Danio rerio: one gene and its partner. Each later gene encodes a partner of the first gene's protein in a complex. Links are inferred from orthologs where the notes say so. Each region holds a gene or a part of one and is shown on either strand. Other genes may lie near its edges. The genes, in order: aifm3 and nmt1a.

Region 1 (3,833 bases):
AAACTGCAGAAGAAGAGTAAAAAATATAAATAAATCATACACTTATCAATTAGATTCCATAGAATCTACGGTAACTTACTGGCACCAGTTTGTCAGTAGCTTACTGTAAATAGATTACAGCAAACATACTGTATTTACATTTGCAGCACCATTTAGCTTGCTGTATATATATTTACATAATTGTATGTATATCTTTACTGTAAAATATACATTTTTTATACAAATAATATACATACTTTTATCCATATAATATTCATATTTTATACATATAATATACATAATTTTTACAATTCAATTGTAAAATTCGGTAGCATGCTGCATAAATATCCTACAGTAAAATATAGTTCATATTACAGTCAAATAATGTGTAATTTGCAAAAAAACAGTAAATTTGCTAGAAAACAGTTCAACAGACCATCTGCAGCGCAAGGATAAAGAACAAGCCTTCTCCATTCGGCCTCTCTACTTTCTCTTTACTTTTACTTTTGTGGATGAAGAAACTGTGTTGTGCACTCCACTGAATTCACTGAAATCCTATTCTTATGCCCCATATGGTCAAATCTAAACTAGTTTTCATAATAATTTTTTGGGGGTTTTCACCTTTATTTTTGATAGGACAGTAGAGAGTATTGACAGGAAAGCATGGGGAGCAAAGAGAGGGGAAGGATCGGCATAGGACCGCGAGGCGGAATCGAACCCGGGTCACCGCGAGTGCATGTGTCGACGCACTAACCACTACACCGCTGGCGCCAACCTAAACTAGTTTTTATAAAAAGAAATATAAATATGCATATAATAAAATAATAGTTCTAATAATAACATGGAAATTATACGAAAGCAAATTGTCATAAATAAACTGAAAAAAGCCCCCTGACATAAAGAAGGCATGGAGGCAGTCGTTTTTATATATATGCAGTAAATAATAATTTTTTAAACATTTTTAATTCTTTTTTTTTTTTCATTTGTAAAGATATTTGTGTATTGCTGTACATCCTGTGTGTATTAATCGTTTGATCCTGCATACTGTACGCACATAACTAACGCGCTCTGCGCTGGACTTGTTCAATAGCACAGTCTATTTTAGGGTGTTTCACACCAAGATCGCCTGAATGAGGTGCTCTTGGGCTTAATTGAAACGAACTCTGGAGTGGATCGATTGTAGTGAGAAGGCGATACGATCTGAGCCCGGCTATATCACAGCGTATCATGGACATGTCATAGGCATATATATGGCTATATAAAGAGAGAATTATGAGTTGGGCGGGATGTCATTCAACAGGTAAATGTGTGTTTCATTTCAAATACGAAAGTGAAAGCATGCTGAACAATTAACGAGAGCTGTTGATCCGTTAGGAAAGCTGACCGACCTGCAGTCTTAGTTTATCTGTTATTTCTCTCTATAATGTAAAGCCTGTAATGCATAAGCCAACTGCTATCTATGAGAAAGTCTTACCTCTGCTTTATATTTGACGATATCTAAAGGTGTCACCATTTAAAATTAAAAGGCAGCTATTCACTTATAATGTCTTTTTGCTCATCGTCATAAGTTAAAATAAGGACACATGACAGCTGAGCGGGACTTGTTTTAGCTATTTTGGTTAGTTTAGAAACTTGAAAGCAAACCGCACCAAGAACAAAGAGCAACAATGGAACAAATTTAATTCCTGTTTCGGAACAAATTAATCAATTTACAGGTGTGAAAGCACCCTTAGTTTCTCAAAATAGCAACGCGCTAACAATGCGCCTTAACACACCTCTATTGTAGACTGGAATTGCCATGAGTCCACAAAGCGGTGCAAATGCATTTGCTATTTAAACAACAAGGCGCAAAATATGAAAATTAGGGTTACACTGGTCTGAATACAGCTACAAATCGAGCTAGGAACATGTTATGCCTTATTGCACTGGGCGTATGATAGGACCCTGCCTGAATAGTAGTTCAGCTGTATTCATGTTTACCTGCTTCCAGTGGCAATGAAGAGTTTTCGATATTCCATTTTAAACCCATCCCTAAATGTCACAGTGTGTGTCTTCACATCCACAGAGACAACCTGTGCAGAAACATGACAATTTGTGCAATTCTGAATATTCATTTGTAAAAAAAAAAACAAAAAAAAAAAACAACAAAAACATATTTAAGAAGTCATTTGTTGAAATGCTGTTACATTACTAACTAAATTAATTATTCCTAAAATTATGTATTACAAGGGTATAGTTCCAATATTACTGTCTGATTTGCCTTAGTATTTTGTATCATAGTTGAAAGATTACAATATTTATTTACATGTTTATGTTATTTACATGTTTTTATATGTTATTTTTTTCATCTTTATCTACAAAGACCTCACCTCTTTCTCCAGTAATACCTCAATGTCATGCATCTGAAAGAAATCAGATGAACGCAACTGCAGCTGTTCAGCCGTGCTCTCTAAAGACTGAAGAAAAGCATCAAATCAATGTCTGAGTGTCGGAATGAAACTTTCGGCTGGAAAGAAATTGTCATGTAATCATGTACTGAATATGTGACCCCGGACAATAAAACCAGTCATAACAAACTGAGATTTATACAAGTTGAATTAATTCTGCTGTTGTATGATTTATGATATGACAATATTTGGTTGCGATACAAGCATTTAAAAATCTGGAATATGAAGGTTTAAAAATACTGAGAAAATCACCTTTAATATGATCCGATTTTTTTGAAAGTAGGGCATTTTTGAAAAGTCATCAAGGAAGGTGATCTTTAATTAATATTGTAATGATTTTCGGCATACAGGAAAAAGCAGATCATTTTGGATCATTTAATGAATCATAGAATAAATATCATAGCTTTGTGGTCCAGGGTTACATGGTTAAACGTTTTTTTTTTCCCCCACACTATTCTATGGACTGTTCTGTGTACAAACCTTACTCAGTTTAGGCCTGTCGTAAGGCAGATGTTTGTCCGTGGTGCAGATCACTATACGGTCAGTGAAGCCCTCCTGCCTCAGTGTCTCAGCACACACCAGACCAGCAGGCCCTGAGTGAGAACATCCACATAAGGTCAACAGGAGCATCAGAAAGTTTCTTCTTTTATCTTGAATCTGAATATAAATGCGTGACTTTAGCTGATGCTTTGAATGTTATCTCCAACAGTTTATCTTTATTATTACTTAACAACCAGTAATTGCGCTGTCTCATGTTTAAAGGTGGCAATTAAACTTTGATCTTAGTCTCTTCTAAATGTACAACTATTATAAAGCTATTTTAAGTTGAATAAAATCAAATCAGCCTGAGATAAGAATGATGTTAAGAAATGGCTTTGTTTTGCACATTGAAGTACATTACAAGGTGCATTATCCATTCAAGCCACTCTGAAGGTAAATTCAGCTTTACTAGGCTAAATACAGTATATATAGCGCAACTGATAAGGTCAGCAGATTGTAAAGTTAAAAGCCATAGCCTATAAGTTTCACTAGGATTACTTAAAACATCACGTGAATTCGCTAAATGTCAACTGACCTGGCATTTAGGGAACATAATAGTCATAAAGTCAATATTATAGTTATTTGTCCAATAAATAATTAAGTGTTTAATAATTTTAGCCATGTTTATTATCATTCAATCATTCATTTTCTTTTCGGCCTAGTCTCTTTATTAATCCAGGCTCGCCACAGCGGAATGAACCGCCACCTTATCCAGCATATGTTTTACACAGTGGATGCCTTTGCAATCACTGTGAAACAACCATACATACTCATTTACACACATACACTTCAGACAATTTAGCTCACCCAATTCACCTATACTGCATGTCTATGGACTGTGGGGAAAACCGGGGCAACAGGAGGAAA
Region 2 (3,833 bases), on another chromosome or scaffold:
ATCTTTTGCATTTTTTATGGAGAATCTAAAAATAGGTAAATGATTATTTTTGAAATATGATCATTGTGACTCATTTTGCCAGATGAACTCCAACACACACACACGTTCCTATATCCTGGTTGGGACTTTCATAGACGTAATCTACTCTACAGGCTGTATAATATTTCCCCCTACCCTGAAACCCAACTCTCACAGAAAACATTTAGCATTTTGACAATTTCAAAATACTTAATTCTGTGTGATTTATGAGATGTTTTTGCATTAAGGTCCCATTTACACTTATACATTTTAGTTTTAAAACACATTTTGCACATTTTTGTAAAGTTCAGTCTTGCATCCTTTTCTTCTAAGTTCAGACTTTGCAAGATTGATTTGGAAAACAAACTCCTAAGGACACATCGGGTAAATCTTCAAAGAGAACAGTGTACTTTATAACGTCATTCGCATCATCTTGGCATCATCTTAATAAACTGATAACATGATATAAAGAACTGTCAATTTTCATTTTGATATTAGCAACTTAACAGACACCAAAAATGTTAAGGCATCGTGTAGCTAAATATGTATAAGCATCATCTTCACTGTATGAATATTTATAATAAAACGGAGCTTAATGTTTAACAAATACATCACGTTTAACAATTTTAGTGAGATCAGATCTAGCGGTAGGTGGTTGATGAGACGTCCGACGTGCACAGCTCTCACCTGGGGTTTTGTGCTCAAAGCACCTGCTGACTGCCTGTAGCTCAGATGCGCGCATACGTTGAAGAGCATTCCAGAGTGTGTGTGGTCACGTGATGTGCATTTTTAGTGGTGTAGTGTGGACGGAGAGCTGTTCAGAAATGCTAGGTGAATGTCAGTGTGGATTGGACGTGGATTGTTTTTATTCCAAAACGCTGTTTTAAAACTAAAACGTATTTGTGTAAACAGGGCCTCAATTTTGTTCCCCCAGTAGCACAAGTCTAAATGGGTTTGTGTGTGCATTCAGGTTTTACATAAAAAACAAGTACACACACACACACACACACACACACACACACACACACAAACACACACGCACACACACACGCACACACGCACACACGCGCGCACACACACACACACACACACACACGCACAGATATGCACGCATTTAGTGACTGACCGACTTGGCGAGGATAAGAGCGTCTCCCATCAGGTCCACCAGTGGGGTGGTGGTGTGTACATTATAGAAGGAATATGCCGCCTTCAGACTGCGGTGCACAGGATGGTTCATGATGGTGGACGGCAGAGTGTAGAAACTCAGGATATCAGTCACCTTCCCATCTGTAGTCTGCAATGGATGACACAAACAGCCAGATGCTCATGACAAAGACTTTACACAAATGACCACATCATCCACTTTTACCTGCTAACAACACTATAATGTCAATATATGCAGATATATAAGGCAGTGTTGTACCTCCACTACATAGGTGTCAATGATGTTCTCCTGAGGGAGCAGCCAGTGTTGAACCTCCTCAGGGCTCATGACTGGAACCAGGTTGAACTGATTTAGGTATTCCTTCAGCAGGCGGTGAACCAGTGGGATGTCTTTTATGGTCATCGGCCTCAAACCTGCAGTCTTGGGAGCCTAAAGGAAAGAAATGAGCATTAAGGGATTATTAAGGGAAACAGGCTGGCACACACACACCAGGGCTGAACAAGCATCTATATCGCAAAGTGTGTATCTGTAATAGTTGCATCTCAGGATTAGATTATTTATTAAAGATTAAAACAAAGATATTATTAAATACGAGTTTTTGATTATTTATAAATGATGACCATGTTATTATTCATTTGATTGTTCACATTCTGTACCTGAATACTTTTAAGGTCCGTGCACACCGGGAAGCTTTTTCCGTTGACGTTTAACGCCTTGTGACTAAATAAAGGGCACCAATGTGATCATGCACATCAATGCGCAAAATGACAGACGTAAAAGCGTCATTTTTTTAAGAAACTCCTTATGCTCGTTTTTTTCCTTCTCCACTAATCAGATTGGCTCTTTTGATCACGGAGCTGCTGAAGCTACAGTAAACAGCACTTGGAGGCGCTCAAGCACAACACTGTCAATGTGAGCGCATTTTGAAAAAGATGCCCAGAGGCAATATGAACGTGGAGCTGCTTATTGCACTGGTGAACAATAATCCTTTCTTCATCGCTAGAGCTGCTACTTCAACCATCCAGGCTTGTTCGAATCGCCAGTAACTTTAACAACAAGAGTTTCAACTTTCTGACTTCTTCTTCTGTATTACAAGCGAGTTTTAGAGGCTTAAAGTTGTGTAGCGCCATCTGTCATCAAAGAGTGATTCTGCATTCTCTTCTGCTCAATGGCAGTAAAAATCGATCGGGTTTGAATCTGGAAAAATGTCTCGAAAAACGCAGACAATAAACGCAAAGGAAAAGCGTCCCATTGTGTACGAGCATTCAGACACCCAAGAAAACCCCAAAGCACTGTTTATTTTTTATTTTTGATGGTAATTTATTATATTTTATTAAGATGCACGTGCATAGAACACAACTTAATAATCACAGTCAATCTAAATGAATGAAATCTTTCCAAATAGAGCTATTTAAATCATCTGATGAAATGATATTCATATCGCAATATATATCGTGGCAAAAGAAAAACCGCAAAGCAGATTTTTCCAATATTGTGCAGTCCTAACATATACACACACACACATACACACACACACACACACACACACACACACACACACACCCACCCACACACCCACCTCTGGCAGCCGGTAGAGCTTCATGGTGCGTTGCATAGTCATGTTGCGACTAAGGTGAGAAAACTTCACCTCAATCAGCTTTCGTGGGTTCAAAGAACGGTGCCAGTATCTACCAAATAAACACAAACAAACTCATTAGTACAAAAAATGATGTAAAGTTCAAATTTCAATTATGCATTAATATACATTACAACCGCCCAGGGGCATTGCTAGACATAAAGCTCTACTAAGGCACAGCATCCCCCTAAGAAGATCAATAAACAAATAAATAAATATATATATATATATAATTATAAATAAATAGCAGTACTAATGTTATTATACAATTATGATTCTAAATAAATTACTGAAATGAATCCTGAATGTAACCGGAAAACAATCTAAAGACGCAACTGGAGTGATGCTAAGATAATTTAAGAAATCTTTTGCATTAATATTAATTTTATTAGAATGAAATGATATAGACAATTCAATAGAATACAATAAAAGATGTTTTATAGAATTATCTGTTGTGTGTTGTCTTAGACCCAACTTAAGGCCGAGAATTAGGTTTATTAAGTCTGTCCTCTCTGACTTCATCCCTCCTTTCTGCTTCATACCAAAAAATATATCAGGAGCCATGCAGTATGAATAAGATCACAATCATATTATTTTAACTTTATTTTGTCGACTTTCGAATCTCACTGCGTGCTGGTTTCACAAAGCACGAGCGGCACTGCAATTTTTTTTTAGCGTGCATGTTCACAACCGAACCTGGAGTAGAGCAGCACGTCAGCGTCAAGCAGAAGCAGTGTGCGTGAGCCACACGGGTATGTTTTTTTTTTTTTTCTGTGCACATGCTCAGTTTGCTTTTTGATTTAACTACATTGCTTTCATCAGCGTTGGTTTGGTTGCACATAGAGAATGATGTCTTTATTCTGGGATTACCACTCTTAATAAATACACTTGCATATAAAGTAAATCGTATTTCAAAGCATTTACTGGGGCACTGGCGATTTTTACTGGGGCACGTGCCCCAGTAAATGGGGTCTAGCGACACCCCCGCAACAGCATATATTAAAGTTAACAGAA

Evidence for each region.
Region 2: the proteins of aifm3 (region 1) and nmt1a are in contact, whole or in part, in a crystal structure (PDB 6SJZ), measured with the Homo sapiens proteins. The link is inferred for Danio rerio from reciprocal best matches to the Homo sapiens genes AIFM3 and NMT1. Residues at the interface, in NP_001373743.1 of Homo sapiens: Gly2, Cys4, Phe5, Ser6, Lys7, Pro8; in NP_066565.1 of Homo sapiens: Tyr180, Val181, Glu182, Asp183, Asp184, Asp185, Phe188, Arg189, Phe190, Asn246, Thr282, Ala283, Gly284, Tyr296, His298, Phe311, Tyr401, Ser405, Ile469, Gly470, Asp471, Asn473, Leu474, Leu495, Gln496.

Annotation. Positions count from the first base shown.
Region 1 is NC_133180.1:13,333,211-13,337,043, forward strand, and holds part of aifm3 (apoptosis-inducing factor 3), read right to left. Parts: intron 3,020-3,833; coding exon 2,907-3,019; intron 2,436-2,906; coding exon 2,349-2,435; intron 2,052-2,348; coding exon 1,960-2,051; intron 1-1,959. UniProt on the Homo sapiens protein: Induces apoptosis through a caspase dependent pathway. Reduces mitochondrial membrane potential.
Region 2 is NC_133178.1:38,187,426-38,191,258, forward strand, and holds part of nmt1a (glycylpeptide N-tetradecanoyltransferase 1), read right to left. Parts: intron 2,872-3,833; coding exon 2,763-2,871; intron 1,613-2,762; coding exon 1,442-1,612; intron 1,313-1,441; coding exon 1,145-1,312; intron 1-1,144.